4 linked regions of the Macaca fascicularis genome follow. The main gene of each other region encodes a partner of the protein of the gene in region 3 in a complex. Links are inferred from orthologs where the notes say so. Each region holds a gene or a part of one and is shown on either strand. Other genes may lie near its edges.

Region 1 (4,206 bases), on a different chromosome or scaffold from region 3:
TCCCAAAGTGCTGGGATTACAGGCTTGAGCCACCGCGCCCGGCGCATGGAATCAATCTTAACCATGGTACCAAACTCTCAAGTGAAGCACGCTGATGCCCAGTGAAAGCCAGGTGTTTGGTATAATGCTGACCTAGTGACCTCTGGCCTTTTTGGCTGTGCTCATTGCCTGGTCCCAGTAGTCACTCAGTGCCAGGAGCCCAGGGAAAGGAGCAGGGGCTGCAGGAAGGAGGGAGGTGTAGCACAACCTGCTCCCACTTCAATCATCACCCAACCACATGGCCTCTGGCTGACCATCAAGTAGGCCCAGCATTTTCAATCCACACCACAGGCCCATGTCCTAAACCAGGATTTTACAAGTCTCAGGGAACTGGCTGCAATAGCTATAACCAGTATACCTCTGGGACCAGCAGCCGGAGCACTCCAAATGGCAGGCATGTAGATTCATAGGTAACACATGCCCAATTTTTCCAGTTTTACCTCTTGCTTTTATGAACCAGAACAAGTTTGGGAGGTTGAAGTAGGGAGAGGGTTGGAAATCATTTCAGCATATACTTTTTTAGGTTCTGCCAGACAACCTTTTATTACATCAGAAAAGCAACACTAGGCACTAGATCTTGCAAAATATGTTCTGACCAACTCTAAACTTTCTGAAGTTATAACCACATCAGTAAGGTTTTTAATGAACAAAAAAGTTAAATACAAACTTTCATATGCAAAATAGATTATTGTATAACTGGCAACCTCAGAGCCAAGTACTAAATTTTCTTCCACAAATTTCAGTGGGGATGGAGTGGGGAGATGTCAGTCTTAATGAGTAGAAAACTTAATTTAGGCTTAATATATAGAAAACAAAAACTCTGAGGAAAAATAGCTTTAAATTGAATAGTATCTTTTGAATTAAACAGCTCAGGCCAGGCCCTATAATTCTGAGGTTTATACTCAATCAGATCTGGGATGAAAATGAAGATTTAGGGTTTACAGTTACTTCAAATCCATGAATCCAGTTTCAAGACTAAGCCAAGTCACCTCATTTCCAGAAAGGGAAGTCTCTTTAAGATGACAACACATCTCTTCGGAAGATGCTTGGATAGTCAGAGTTCCTTGGGCACAGGTCCACTGTTCATGGCACTGTGCCAACGCTGTAGTGTCAGACTTCCTCTGAAAGGCAACGGGAGCCCTATCCCACAGCATTTTCATTTCTCCCAGCATTTTTGAGCCTCAAAAAAACAAAAACAAAAAACAAAATCCCAAACCCTCCAGCTTCATGTTGGCAGTTACTGCTCCAGCTCCACTTCCTTCCGCCCCCAGTGAGAGTTCCCTCCTGGTCTTCAGCAGGGAGTGGCAGCTTGAGTAACATTCCTTTCAGAAATAAATAGTTCAAACAAGTAATTTAGAGCTAACTGTAAAAGAGCAGCAGCAAATGACCACTGCCCATTATGTTTGCAAACGAGTGAGTGAATGAATACGCTGAACAAACACACAGAAAACAAACAATTCACAGAGTAAATCCTGCATTTCCCACATTCATAGGGAAAAGAATCTCTTAAAAAAAATAGTAGTTAGCGTTTGTTCTTGTGTGGGTTGAACAGTCCAAAGCTCTGAGCAGGCACAGCCTTACAAACAGGATTGCAAGCAGCCCTCTGCACCCCAAGTCAGGACTAGGGTGCAGTGAGAGGCCTTCATGCACTTTTGACAGCTCAGTACCTGTGAGAGAACAGAAGTGATGCAGGGACTTTTTAACCCACAATGCATGAGGTATATGGAAATGTCTGTGAAAGAACCACCAGCAGCTAGAGGGGACCAGGCAAAGTTTTCTCACAGCAACTGCTGATGAAGGATTTCCCACACCATCTTCTTCCGGAAGAGAGGCATCTGGTGCTGCAAAGAATCCCATAAACAACACATGCATTACATCATAATGTGCACAGCAGCACAACCTTCAGGTGTAATCATGTCAATAAAGCAGGATGTCCATGTTCTTTTTCTAAATGTTGACATTTTTATATCATGGAACATACTTATCAAACCATTAAAAGGCCGGGCGCAGTCCCAGCACTTTGGGAGGCCGAGGAGGGCAGATCATAAGGTCGGGAGATCGAAACCATCCTGGCTAACACGGTGAAACCTCGCCTCCATTAAAAATACAAAAATTAGCCGGGCATGGTGGTACATGCCTGTAGTCCCAGCTTCTCAGGAGGCTGAGGCAGGAGAATCACTTGAACCTGAGAGATGGAGGTTGCAGTGAGCCAAGATCATGCCTCTGCACTCCAGCCTGGGCAACAGAGCAAGACTCCATCTCAAAATAATAATAATAATAATAATAATAATAATAATAATAATAAAAAACTAGTGATGTCCTACCTAGGGGTGGGGGCTAAAAAGTCTTAACACATGATTCTTAAATTATTTTAAATAGTTCAAAACATCTAGTAAAAACTGCACATTTGCTCTTAGTAAAACTGCTAAGACTAAGCAATAAATGCCTTTATTTTTTACTGGAATTGTATTAATTCAGCATGGGAGTCCTAGTTACTTCATGTAATACAGTTTGTATTATAGTTTGTATTCATGTAATAAATACAGTTTGCTTGGTAGACATCTATCAAAATAAAGTCTGTGGATGAAAAATATATATATATATTTTTTGAGACAGAGTCTCGCTCTGTCGCCCAGGCTGGAGTGCAGTGGCTGGATCTCAGCTAACTGCAAGCTCTGCCTCCTGGGTTTACGCCATTCTCCTGCCTCAGCATCCCCAGTAGCTGGGACTACAGGCGCCCGCCACCTCGCCCGGCTAGTTTTTTGTATTTTTTAGTAGAGACGGGGTTTCACTGTGTTACCAGGATGGTCTCGATCTCCTGACCTCGTGATCCACCCGCCTCGGCCTCCCAAAGTGCTGAGATTACAAGCTTGAGCCACCACACCGGCCTGAAAAATATTTTTAATGAGGTTGTCCTCAGTTGTAAAAAGGTTGAGAATCCACTGTTACAAATTCTCAAGAATTCCCAACATACTTGAGTTTCCAATCAAATGCAGAGCCATGGAGAATTAAACAAACAAAAGAGCAGAACAGAAAGGAAGAGCAGTATTCACAAGTTACATCTTAGACCTGTGACTTCAATGCTCACAGGCCTGTTTTTCCCTTCCTATTAAATACTGACATACCTCTTTCTTTGGCTAGAAATAATAATACACAGGAACCAATGAATGCCAGAGTTCAGAGGTTTGCAATTTGTGCCCATTGTGTACCAAAGACTAGGATAAACCTGAGAGCAGATAAAATAACAAACCCTGATTCTGGCAGGGGTAGGGCTAAAACCAAGATTTACAGCAATAAGAATAGCACAGCTACTACTATTTTTTTTTTTTTTTTTGGGGAGATGGAGTTTCGCTTTTGTTGCCCCAGGCTGGAGTGCAATGGCGTGATCTCGACTCCCCACAACCTCCACCTCCTGGGTTCAAGCAATTCTCCTGCCTCAGCCTCCCTAGTAACTGGGATTACAGGCATGCGCCACCACGCCCGGCTAATTTTGTATTTTTAGTAGACACAGGGTTTCTCCATGTTGGTCAGGCTGGTCTTGAACTTCTGACCTCAGCTGATCCACCTGCCTTGGCCTCCCAAAGTGCTGGGATTACAGGCATGAGCCCAGCTACTATTATTTATTTATTTTTGAGACAAGAGTCTCGCTCTGTTGCCAAGACTGGAGTGCACTGGTGTGACCTCGGCTCACTGCGACCTCTGCCTCCTGGGTTCAAGCGATTCTCCTGCCTCAGTCTCCTGAGTAGCTGGGATTATAGGTGTGCACCACCACACCTGGCTAACTTTTGTGTTTTTAGTAGAGATGGGGTTTCACCATGTTGGCCAGGCTGGTCTTGAACTCCTAACCTCAGGTGATCCGCCTGCCTCGGCCTCCCAAAGTGCTGGGAATATAGGTGTGAGCCACCACGCCTGGCCAGCTACTACTACTGAGAGCTGAACATGTGCCAGGCACTGGCCAAGTGCCTTATCTTGCTTAGTAACAAGTAAATGAATGAGGAGGGTCTTCACTCACCTGAGTAAATGTGATAGGTTTGTCCCTAGAAATATAATCTGCATATTTACAAGTAAACATTCCACAATCACTCCCATTCAACTGTTGAGGAATCTCCTAAAATTACAAAGAAAAAAGAAGGGAGGAAAGGGTAAAACATCATTATATACAAATCC
Region 2 (3,561 bases), on a different chromosome or scaffold from region 3:
GCACTTGTTGCTCAGGCTGGAGTGCGGTGGCGCGATCTCAGCTCACCGCAACCACTGCCTCCTGGGTTCCAGCAATTCTCCTGCCTCAGCACCCCCGAGTAGCTGGGATTACAGGCTCCTACACCACGCCTGACTAATTTTTTGTATTTTTAGTAGAGACAGGGTTTCACCATGTTAGTCAGGCTGATCTTGAACTCCTGACCTCAGGTGATCCACCTGCCTCCGCCTCCCAAAGTGCTGGGAATACAGGTGTGAGCCACCGGGCCCAGCCATAAAACAAGTTTTAAAAAGTTTTTTTGTAAGTAGAAATACAAATAAATCTCCCAGAAATGAAAATATGCAACACTGTATGCATAAATAGTATGTCATATAGCACAATTTTGTAATTCATTACCAGCCTTTAAATCCGCATTCTATTGTAAGTAAATATTAATTGAAAAAGCAAACAATTTACATTTCATAATCACAATATAAAATCTTCAGGTCTAAAATACATAAAGTTCTCCGTGAATTAAAATATCATAAAAGAGCTCAAAACACATGGTTAAATAAGTTATATTTAATTAGTAAGATCTTCAGCTAAAATATAGCACCTATCCTTGAATGGGCAGTAAAACAAGAGAGGAATCCTCCTGCATTGAAAGAGCTGTATGCTTGCCCAATTATTATGATTACACAAAATAATAATTTAAAAATTCCTTCTGTTACATAGAAAACCAGGCCCATGGCGGAGGTGGAGCAAAAGATGTAACTTCGTTCCAAAAATAATTATCTGGGATAAGAAGGGTAGTGATTCAGGCTGGGGGAGAAACCATTCTTTAATTCAACTGGGAACTGAAGTAGGGACTCTAGAAGGGAAATGGTACCTGCTAAATGCACCACAAAAGCCCCTCCATCTAAACTCTAGGATCTTATGGAAAAGGCTCCTTCGAAATGAGTATTCGCTCAACAGATCAGTGGCTGGGGGTGATGAACCTGGTTAACCACAAGGAGCCTGGTGAAAAGTTTTAGAGTGACAGAGTCCTATATCTTGACTATAGTGAGGGTTACAGAGCTGTACACGCTTAAAAAGGGTCTCACTATATGTAAATTACACTTTGATATAAAGAAAAAAGAATATTCATTTCATCTCAGAGTCTATCTGATACATAAATTAGAACAGTTCTTTAGGCCTAGAGGAGGAAATGTCAGAAATCTGGCATATGAAAAATCAGATTTTTATAAAAACAGAATAAATATATATGTATAAGTCCATAAAAACAAAGCAGATATACAATAATTATATATCAATTTTAATAAAATGTAGGAAAAAAGTGAAAATTAGGGGACAGAAGCATGAGTCAAAGAAATATGTCAAAAGCTGTCCAGCATGTACAAAAGACGCCATGCTTCCAGATATATTATATATATATATATATATATACACACATACACACACACATATACATATATATATTTTTTTTTTGGAGACAGAGTCTCACTCTGTCCCCAGGCTGGAGTGCAGTGGTGCAATCTCGGCTCACTGAAACCTGTCTCCCAGGTTCAAGCGATTCTCCTGCCTCAGCCTCCTGAGTAGCTGGGACTACAGGCACATGCCATCACACCCAGCTAATTTTTGTATTTTTAGTAGATACCGGATTTCACCATGTTGGCCAGGATGGTCTCGATCTCTTGACCTTGTGATCCGCCTGCCTCGGCCTCCCAAAGTGCTGGGATTACAGGCGTGAGCCACCGTGCCCGGCTGTATAAGTATATAAATATGTTATAAATATATTGTCAATATATTATAAAATATCATATTTTATAATGATCTGGAAGCATGGTGTCTTTTGTACATGCTAGATAAATCAGTTGCAACAACTGATTTTATTATAAAATATATAAATCATTTTTTAATATAAGTTAAATGTCACTCATTGAGAGAAAAACTAGAAGGCACTGATACTTTACATAATATGGGTAATTACTAAGAGGGAGTATCGTACTCTGCTACTCTAACATTACTAGAAGAGTTAATACAAGGATAAAAGGAAAATAAAACAAAAAGCCCTTTCAAAACAAAAACAAACAAAAAACCCCACAGCTCCTTTCTGTAATACTAAAGACATTTAGAAAGGTTTGGTCAGACTCTAACTCACTTGCTGCACACCACTCCCACAGGCCAAAAACCAAGTCACAGAGAACAAAGAGGTCCCATCCTTGTGCCCTTTCTAAAGGCGAGGAAGCTTTCTCAAAATGCCATCAGCATATTTCTCTTAATATCCACTGGCCAAAACTGTACCACATGTCCATTCCTAAAGCAATCACGGTAGGGAAACAGAATTACTATGGTTGGTTTAGATGAGATTCTAAACCCTGTGTACATTTAACAATCATGTGGGGTTTCTAAAAATTACTGATTTCCTGAGCCCCATCCCTGAGATTCTAATTCAAATGCCCCTAGCATTGGCATTTACTTTTAAATTCCCTCGGTGCTTTTTAATGCACAATTGAGGTTAAAAATGCTAGATCTGTCTGCTAGGAAACGTACTAGAGAAGCAACTAATGATATGCCCCTAAAATTCTCCTGGTTCTGAGAACAGCACCCACTCTCAAGAGGGGGAACACCAGCCTGCATATTTATATAGAACGGCTCTGCCCTACAATAACCTACCCAGTGGTAGATTCCTAAGTCAGACCACTCAGATTCTCTCTCCCAAGAAGATGATCATCCAAGGTAATCAAACAGTGTTATACTTCCTTATGATGTACGTATTTCTAAATGGTAGATGAGTATAATACGAGCAAGTTATACCAATTACTTACCTAATGTGCATCTAAGCTGGGGTTGAAGGCTAATAAAAATTTCATCTCTAACTTCATTCAGACAGGTCTCTATCTCTGCAAATATTTCTGAGGTAAGTTTTTTACAATCTCCATCTAAGAAAATACAAAGAACATTATCAATTCCTCATCGATGTGTATCTTGCCACAGAAAACTGAGACATTCCCAAGAATGAAAGCTGAGTCAGTAAGTTCTGCAAACAGAGACAAAAAGCAAAACACCAAATTTCCTTAATTCTTTCTCTGTGGTATACCATATATTCCCTTAATGTATGTTATCAGCACAATATCATTAGTACTTACCTAATGGGTAAAATCTCGGGGAAAGCCTTTCTCACCCATATAATCACAGGTATAGCAAAATAACCTTTCAGATGCTATGTCTATATCTAAAACAGCTAAAGAAGTTACCTCCTTATGTGCAATTACTTATACTACAAATGATTTATTCATTTATTCCACTCTGTGTAACTTTTATTGAACTTAGCCAGGTCATAGGAACAGATAAATTTATAAGGAGTCTTAATAAAGTTACAATTATTTCCCAAACTAATACCTCGTATATTTCCCTTCTATGTCATTTTTGAGGAGTCTGAAGGGGTCTTCAGTGGCAACATAGTGTTTATTTGGTTCCACATCCTGCTTTGTCTACACAAATTTGCTTCATTAAAACCTCTGACCAACCTGGGCAACAGAGTGACACCCCTATCTCTTAAAAAGAAAGCTGGGTATGGTGGT
Region 3 (4,355 bases):
GGACGCCGGTGGCTTGGCAGCAGCCTGAGTGGTGAGCTGGCACACCCCCATCCCCCCATCCCAAATGTGGCCTCCAGCGCAGGGAAAACTGGCCTAGGAAGGAAGAGCATGCAAACAGTTCCAGGCGGGATGGAAGTGAGGACCCCTGCATGAGCCCCCTTCACTTCCCCAAGCATGAGGATGCACTGGCTTCTTTAGGGAAGGAAGATATGAGTGTGTTCAAAGGCACAGATGCAGGGCCCACACGTGTCCCCACAGGGTAATGGCTGCAGCCCCAGGAGAGGCTGGGGCAGGGCAGGGCCGGCCACAGTGCCTCTGCTCCAGACAGACAGACACCAGCAATGTCGGTCTGTCCCAGACCCCTGGTAAATTCCTAATAAGCAAGTGAACTCGTGAGTTAAAAAATGAAGCCCTAAAAACATGGGCCTCAGTTTGCTAGTCAATCCTCCGCCTCAGCTATCCAGGGAAGTCAGAACATTCTCCTGCCTGACCCAAAAGCTCTTCTTTCCAGCACCACTGGGCCCCAGAGTCCACTTCTTCCCCTTCCTCAGAGCCCCACAGGGTAGAGCTGCTCCCACATGGGCTCAGAGGGGACCCACCAGGAGCAGGGCCTGTGAGGTGGCAGCCACTCAATCATTCTGGAATTCAACAAGTGTTTTCAACGGAATTGGAGCCTGAGGTTGACCACATGGCAGAGCTAAGTGTAAACACTGCTGAGAAAATGAGTATCATACATATTTTATTACATGTACTCTTCATTAAGAGGAAGCCACCTACGAAAACATAAAGAAAGGACATTTATATTTGGCCTAGTTTTAACAAGTATTTAAATATTCAAACAACCCCTGAGTGGGAGAACTTTGACTTCACTGGAGTCAAAATGTAAAAAGCGAAGGTCACTCCAAATGCCATCTGGATAGGGGAGGTTTCCTTGGAGTCTGACCACAGCAAGCAGAGTGCAGACTTCCAGAGGCCGCAACCATGGTTCCGGACGGTTCCATCCCAGTTTCCACCAGTGTCTGGCACTGAGCCTCCACCCTCATCTGTAAAGGGAGGGTGGTCACCTCCAGGACCAGGCCAGTATCAGAGACAGCATCCTTACAGAGCCTTCAGCTCTAGTCATCTTCCACTAGGATGTAACATAGAGGCCAAGAGTGCACACCAAGGGCTTCCGAAAGGTTCTCTTTTTATGAACACTGGAGACCGCGACTAAGGACCCTCCCAAGGAGGAGTGGCCAGTGCACCTGAATGAAGGGTGCATACCCCAGGACTGAGACTGGAAGGATGCACACCCCAGTGTGGCAATGGGGGAAACTAAAGCACACCCAAGGCTGGATAAGGAGGGGTGGGTGCGCATGGCAGGGGAGGCGCAATGGGGAGAGGTGGGCACACACCATAAGGGGCGTGATGGGGAGAGGTGGGCACACACCATAGGAGGTGTGATGGAGAGGGGTGGGCGCACACCGGGGGACGCGACGGGGAGGGGTGGGCACACACGGGGGGTGTGATGGGGAGGGCGACGCAATACGGAGGGGTGGGCGCACACCAAGGACGCGATGGGGAGGAGTGGGCGCACACCGGGGGGCATGATGGGAAGGGGTGGATGCACACCGGGAGACTGATGGGGAGGCGAGGGCGCACACCTTGGGGCATGATGGGGATGAGTGGGCACACACCATGGGCGGCGTGATGGGGGGGGTGGGCGCACACCGGGGTACGCGATGGGGAGGGGTAGGCGCATACCCGGGGACGCGATGGGGAGGGGTAGGCGCACACCGGGATATGCGATGGGGAGGGGTAGGCGCACACCGGGGGACGCGATGGAGAGGCAGTGGGTGCACACTGGGGTCACGACCGGGGAGACAGGAAGGAGAGGGGTGGGCGCACACTGGGGGACGCGACGGCCAGGACGCGGTGTGGAGAAGTGGGTGAATACCGGGGGCGCGATGGGCGCCCTGGAAGGACGGCAGCGCTGCTCACAGGGGCTAGGCCCCTCAGAGCGCGCCCCTCGGGGGTAACCCCAGACGCTTATTCCTGAGCCGACTCCGTGCACTTGACACAGGACCCCGCACCCAGGGCGATGCCGGGGGAGAAGGCGACCCCGCCCAGCAATGACTCAGGAGAGGATCACGCAAAGACGCCTCGGGGACACTGCCGGGGCGGGATCCGAGGGCGCTGCGCTCGGCAGGAGCAGCGCAGGGCCCGACACCCGGCGGTCTGGGAGGCGCTAGGCGCGCGCCTTCCCAGCTAGGGAGGAGATGGGCGTGGAGCTGGGGCGTGGCCAGGCCCGGCGGGGACGGAGCTCGCGGCACAGCGCGCTTCGGGGAGGGGCCCGTCTTGGGCGGACCCACTTAGGGGCAGGGCGCTACAGGGGGCGGGGGGGCGGGGCGCTATAGGGGGCAAGGAGAGGCGGAGCAGGGGCACGGGGCGGAGTCGGGCTGGGGGCGGAGTCGGGATGGGGCGGAGTCAGACTGGGGGGTGGAGTCGGACTGGGGGCGGAGCCGGGCTGGAGGCGGGGCGCGCCGCCGAGCGCCGCCGGGCGGGGGAGGGGAGCGGCGCGGCCGGACGGGAGCGGGGGAGGGGCGGGAGCGCGGGCGGCGCTGCAGGCCTGGGCGCGGGTCCCCGTGGAAGCTGCGGTCTTCTATGGCCGCGACAGTGGCGCGCGGCGGCGGAGGCGCCCGGGACGCCCGCGATGGCCGCGTGTGCGGGCGGGGGCGCCGCGCTTACCTTGGGCTTCTCCTCGGACATGGCTGCGCGGGCGGCGCGGGCAGGCGGCGCGGGGGAAGCAGCGCGGAGCAGGCGAGTCACGCTCTCGGCCCCGCCGCTCTCCCGCCGCAACTGTGCGCGGGGCCGCGCTTTATCCCCCAAATCCCGGCGCACCCGTTGGCCGGCACGGGGTCACGTGGCGGCGCGCGTGCACGAGGCGCGCTCCCCGGGGCGTCGGGCGCGCGCTGGCCGGGCCGCGGCTCCGGGCTGTTGGAGATGCGTCACGGGGCGGGTCCCGCGCGACCCTGGCGGGTGCGGACGCCCTGGGGCGCTGTGGTGGGCGGGCCAGGAGCGCGTACGGGGACTCCGGGCCCTGGGGACCCCTGCCCGCCTCCCCGCCCGGGCCCGGGCCCCGAGTCCTTTCTTGGGGGCCGCGTTCCTGGGGCGCCAGGAAGTGAGGCCGGGGGCGCGGGGACCTGGGGCGGAGGAGGGAAGCCTCTGGGGGTGATGTTCCCTCTCGGGAGCCGCGGACAGAGCGGAGGAGGCGGCCCGCGGGGTCCCGTCAGCGGAGGCCGCGCGAATCCGGCCAGCACCTAGACGGTTGGGGGCGCCACGCGCTTCCCTGCAGCCGAGGGTTCCTGTCAGCCGCAGGCCGGGCTCCTTCGGCCAACGCTCCTACGGGGCTGCCCCGGGCCCTCCACACCCGTCCTCAAGAAGACCCGTTTTTCCTGTGAAGAAACTGAGGCACTGGGAGGTGACACCACCCCCAGGTCAGCGCTGGTGAGGGGCGTCGAGCTGGGCCAGGCAGCCCCGTCGCCGAGCGCGGGCAAACCCAGGCTGGACGCAGCCAGTGCCGGCGGAACGGGGACCGCGTGGACGCGGGAAACGCGCCGGAGCGCTGGGCCGGCCGGACGGCCTCCTGGGACTTGCGGGCGCCATTCCTGGGATGCCCGGCCAGCCTCGGCCTCCCTGTCTGTGATCCCAGGGCCTCGGATGGAACAGACATGAGGGCGGACACCCCTGCATCCGTCAGGAGTGCCAGGGTGGTGCCAGCCGGGGCGTGGCGGGGGTCTCACCTGAAGTTGAGCCCGGCAGAAGGTGGGGGAGGCCGCACCTAACAGGCTCAGCTGGGAAATGGCAGGGCTTGGATTTGAACCTAAGGGTCTGAGCCGTTTCTCTCCTGCCTGGGTAAGGCCCAGCCAACTGAGCAACGTCGCAAAGCCATGGAGACAAGTCTTCATGGACCATAACTTCACAAATCGTCTTCGACTCAAAAATTCACTTTCTTGGCTAGAGCCCCCACTTAGGAGCGGGAAGGCTGCTGAAGTCTCTCAGGGAGAGGGTCAGAGAGTCAGCCTGGCTTCCAGGCAGGTCATATGGTGTGGTCCCTTCCTTCCGGAACCTGGAGCCCAGGGCCTCAGCAGAAGATGTGGAGGTGGGTGGCCAGCTCAGACTGTCCTGGGAGGGGGCTCCGCAACCAGCCCCTTCCCCGGAACGCGGGGCCTCAGAGCCCTCAGATTGCTGGCGGGGAAGTGCCCTAGGGCAGGCAGGGTTCAGAGAGTTATCAACTCCAAGACACCGTTAATCATAAAACAGCAGGACCGTTGGTTGCACAGGCACACTAAACTGCAGGCTGTGGATGAGGGCAG
Region 4 (3,561 bases), on a different chromosome or scaffold from region 3:
TATTTGTTTCAATTTAGTTGTATAATATCTGCAACACAATGTATGTTTCTGAGGTTAAAGGAGTTTGGTTTTTTTGGCTTTTTTTTTTCCCTTTACAGTTCTCAGTATATCACCTCACAAAATATAACAAGAGTCTTCATGGATATGTGTAGCTATATAGTGATGCTGCCAAAAAGTTTAATCCTGAGTGAGAATTCTCATAAAGTGACAAGTAGATAAAAAAAACAAAACTCAAACAACCTGAGAAAGGAGGGGAACGACTAGTGCTCCATCTATCAAAAAATCCCTGATGTTTAACCATTTAACCTAAAACTTGTTTTAAGTTACATACCTAAGTACGTACCATAAATTGATACATAATACATACCTAAAGAAGGGGAAAATTAAGGAAACAAAGAAATCTATCACAACAAAACGTTAATTAACTGGAATGCAAAGAGAGTGAATATTTCAGTTAGTTGAAAATTAGGTAGAAAGCTTTTTGTTTCCAATGCTGACAATCATTCTAAAACACACAAACCTAAATACTTAAGCTTCAATATTTATCTGATGTTTCAAAACTCCTACAACTTCAGAATTCTTACTTACCACTGTAAAGTCATAGAAACAGAGAAAGTGCTGAAGCAATTGGGCTGAGTATATATACTCTGACTCTAGCCTCTACTTAGAAAGTTAATTGTTTAAATAAAAAGTATCAAATCATTTGCATCTTGAGGTAAGAAAAAAAGAATATCCTATTTGTGGGTTTAATTTACTCATAGCATGGTTAATTGAATCATATGTATTTAAAGTATGGAAGTACATGTCTTACAAGTTCCATATCCCTTATCCAAAATGGTTGGGACCAGAAGTTTCAAATTTTGGATTTTTTTGACTTTTGAATATTTGCATTATACAATTTGAGCATCCCAAATCCAAATATCCAAAATCCCAAATGCTCCACTGAGCATTTCCTTAGAGTATCATGTTGGTATTCATAAAGTTTCAGATTTTGGAACATTTTGGATTTCATATTTCCAGATTCGGTATGCTCAAACTGTGTATGTTTATTTATATGTATATTACAATGTTGCCTGTAATAGAGCTAATAAACAGTTAATTGGCTATTAGGACTAAAAATGTAGTTATATGATACCATGTTTACCTTCAGATTGTGTATTTGAAGCTGCTAAGTTATCTGGCTGATGTGGAACAGAGTGGTGATGATGGGGTTGATGAAGAGTATCAGAATCTTTGGATCCAAATGCAACAACATCTGGGGTATAAGAAGAGAGGGAATATACACTGTGGGACAGCTGTTCCTGGTTAGTTAAAATGCTGGCAGATCCAGATGATGAAGTATCAGAGCCAATGATCTGAGATGCACAAGAGTTTCCATTTTTAAATAGTGAGTCCTTCAAAGTATTTTTACTGGAACTAAGACATCGAGACCTAGCAAGAGAAGAATATTGTTTCAATATCAAATAATAAATTGTAGAATTAAATTCATCTGAAATATGCTTCTGTGACTCACAGGTGTAAAGGAAAATGTGTGGTAGGTTTGGCTATAGAAAACTGTTTCCCTGTGACCATCTGTAGCAGCTGTCTATAAATCTCTCTTTCTTCTTCTTGAACTGTCTATAAAAACAAACAAACAAACAAAAAAAAACAGTTTAAACACATGCAATAAGGCAAGTACTTCTCAAACCAGCATGTAAATGGAATCCTAGCTCTGCCAAAGCTCAGGCAGAATCCTTAAGATAATTAAGAATTACGGGCCTGACACAGTGGCTCATGCCTGTAATTCCAGCATTTTGGGAGGACAAGCGGGGAGGATCATTTGAGGTTAGAAGTTCAAAACCAGCCCAGTCAACATAGTGAGACCCCAACTCTACAAAAGAAAAACTAAAAAAAACTGGCTGTAGTGGCACATGCCTGTGGTCCCAGCTACTAGGGAGGCTGAGGCAGGATAATCACTTGAACCTGGAAGGCGAAGGTTGCAGTGAGCGAAGATCGTGCCACTACACTCCAGCCCGGGGGCAGAGCAAGACTCCATCTCAAAAAAAAAAGAAAAAGAAAAAGAAAAAGAAATATATATATATAAAATTATCAAATGTGTAAAAGAGAGGTTGAGTAAATACCAGATAATATACTTTGAAAAATTATGGAATATATATTTAAATAATAGTGCAGAGAAGCTATAGGCTATAAAACCAGAAAGGCAGCAGGTAATCACTTCTGAGTCAAAAAAGAGTCCCAGAAATAAAGGGCCTCTAAATTAGGATTCCAACAAATCCCTTGATTCCTGAAACCTGTTAGAAAAATCACAAGGAAGTAACCAGAATAGTCCAAAACAGTTGGAGTGGAATATCTTGCCAACAGTTTCCTATTTTATTTAAGTGCAGTTACTTTCCAGAGACAATTTTCATCTCCAACATTTATTTATTTATTTTTCCTTTAAGCCCCAATACTACATTTAGGGAAAACCATATACTTCATAACATTCATTCATTGTCATGCACACCTACTATGCTCCAGTCACTAAAGATAATGAATGCATCGAATAAAATAAAGTTCCTGTATTTATGGAGATTATATTGCAGTGAAAGGAATTAAACAAAAAATTAGTCAGGTAGAATGCAGAAAATTAAAGGGTAAGAGAATGGAAAGTTAGGAAGGAGAGCAGCAGGAACAGGTAAGATTTCTCTTAAAAAGGTGGTATTTCCGCAGAAACCTAAAGCCAAGGGAAGAAGTCAGTCCTAGAAACATATAAAAGAATATTCCAAATAGAGGAACAACAAATGCCAAGCCCTGAGAGGGGAAGGTGCTTAATGCGTTCCAAAAACAGTAAGGTCCATGTGAATCAGAAGAGTAGGAAGAAATGAGATCACCTGACAGAGAACCAGATTATATAAGAACTTATAACTCTGGCAAAGCATCAATTCTATACAGGTCCCATGACTCAATGGGCTGTGTTCACTAGCACTTAGTAATATGCCCTGGCAATTTATTTTTAATCTCATATACAGTTTAATACAACCACCAATCCTCACAAAATAATTTTAAACATTATGTCAGGGTTAGCGGCATCTTGTACCGTGATATTTCAATATGTGCTGGGACTACAGGTGCCCGCCACCATGCCTGGCTAATTTTTTGTGTTTTTAGTAGAGACGGGGTTTCACCGTGTTAGCCAGGATGGTCTTGATCTCCTGACCAGCCCAGGCTGGAGTGCCGGGGCGCCATCTCGGCTCACTGCAACCTCCACCTGCCGGGTTCGAGTGATTCCCCTGCCTCAGCCTCTGGAATAGCTTGGACTATAGGTGCACGCCACCACACCCCGGCTTTTTAATTTTTAGTACAGACAGGGTTTCACCATGTTGGCCAGGCTGGTCTCGAACTCCTAACTTCAAGTGATCTGCCCACCTTGGCCTCCCAAAGTGCTGGGATTACAGACATGAGCCACAGCACCCAATATGTAGGGGTTTCTTTTTGTGTGTGTGTGTTTTGTTTTGAGACGGAGTCTCTGTCATCAGGTTGGAGTGCAGTGGCACAATCTCGGCTCGTGGCAACTTCCACCTC

Evidence for each region.
Region 1: the proteins of SUMO3 (region 3) and SENP2 are in contact, whole or in part, in a crystal structure (PDB 2IO1), measured with the Homo sapiens proteins. The link is inferred for Macaca fascicularis from reciprocal best matches to the Homo sapiens genes SUMO3 and SENP2. Residues at the interface, in NP_008867.2 of Homo sapiens: Arg55, Arg58, Arg60, Phe61, Asp62, Gly63, Pro65, Asn67, Asp70, Leu75, Asp81, Asp84, Phe86, Gln87, Gln88, Gln89, Thr90, Gly91, Gly92, Val93, Pro94, Glu95; in NP_067640.2 of Homo sapiens: Gln385, Asp386, Phe393, Lys394, Leu395, Arg396, Trp410, Leu411, Asn412, Asp413, Glu414, Ser439, Thr440, Phe441, Pro444, Lys445, Arg456, Trp457, Lys459, His474, Lys476, Val477, His478, Trp479, Met497, Gln499, Gln542, Asn544, Gly545, Ser546.
Region 2: the proteins of SUMO3 (region 3) and USPL1 are in contact, whole or in part, in a crystal structure (PDB 7ZJU), measured with the Homo sapiens proteins. The link is inferred for Macaca fascicularis from reciprocal best matches to the Homo sapiens genes SUMO3 and USPL1. Residues at the interface, in NP_008867.2 of Homo sapiens: Gln24, Asp25, Gly26, Ser27, Val28, Arg58, Arg60, Gly63, Gln64, Pro65, Ile66, Asn67, Asp70, Leu75, Phe86, Gln87, Gln89, Thr90, Gly91; in NP_005791.3 of Homo sapiens: Ala234, Cys236, Trp237, Pro321, Gln322, Leu323, Arg324, Met330, Glu331, Ser332, Val334, Phe335, Leu339, Tyr368, Thr378, Thr380, His393, Phe394, Gly395, Pro396, Asn398, Arg407, His421, Val423, Tyr451, Asn454, Asn455, His456, Phe457, His493.
Region 4: the proteins of SUMO3 (region 3) and SENP1 are in contact, whole or in part, in a crystal structure (PDB 6NNQ), measured with the Homo sapiens proteins. The link is inferred for Macaca fascicularis from reciprocal best matches to the Homo sapiens genes SUMO3 and SENP1. Residues at the interface, in NP_008867.2 of Homo sapiens: Gln24, Ser53, Arg55, Gln56, Arg58, Arg60, Asp62, Gly63, Pro65, Asn67, Thr69, Asp70, Gln74, Glu76, Asp84, Phe86, Gln87, Gln88, Gln89, Thr90, Gly91, Gly92; in NP_001254523.1 of Homo sapiens: Gln440, Asp441, Glu446, Arg449, Leu450, Thr451, Lys455, Trp465, Leu466, Asn467, Asp468, Glu469, Asn494, Thr495, Phe496, Lys500, Arg511, Trp512, Lys514, Lys515, His529, Gly531, Val532, His533, Trp534, Gln597, Gly600, Ser601, Asp602, Cys603.

Annotation. Positions count from the first base shown.
Region 1 is NC_088376.1:97,560,859-97,565,064, reverse strand, and holds the end of SENP2 (sentrin-specific protease 2), read right to left. Parts: intron 4,148-4,206; coding exon 4,052-4,147; intron 1,881-4,051; coding exon 1,818-1,880; 3' UTR 555-1,817; downstream 1-554. UniProt on the Homo sapiens protein: Protease that catalyzes two essential functions in the SUMO pathway.
Region 2 is NC_088391.1:10,421,787-10,425,347, reverse strand, and holds part of USPL1 (SUMO-specific isopeptidase USPL1), read right to left. Parts: intron 2,920-3,561; coding exon 2,806-2,919; intron 2,295-2,805; exon of another isoform or gene 2,139-2,294; intron 1-2,138. UniProt on the Homo sapiens protein: SUMO-specific isopeptidase involved in protein desumoylation. Specifically binds SUMO proteins with a higher affinity for SUMO2 and SUMO3 which it cleaves more efficiently. Also able to process full-length SUMO proteins to their mature forms.
Region 3 is NC_088377.1:2,241,118-2,245,472, reverse strand, and holds the start of SUMO3 (small ubiquitin-related modifier 3), read right to left. Parts: upstream 2,832-4,355; 5' UTR 2,749-2,831; coding exon 2,728-2,748; intron 1-2,727. UniProt on the Homo sapiens protein: Ubiquitin-like protein which can be covalently attached to target lysines either as a monomer or as a lysine-linked polymer. Does not seem to be involved in protein degradation and may function as an antagonist of ubiquitin in the degradation process.
Region 4 is NC_088385.1:54,825,582-54,829,142, forward strand, and holds part of SENP1 (sentrin-specific protease 1), read right to left. Parts: intron 1,618-3,561; coding exon 1,514-1,617; intron 1,432-1,513; coding exon 1,145-1,431; intron 1-1,144. UniProt on the Homo sapiens protein: Protease that catalyzes two essential functions in the SUMO pathway.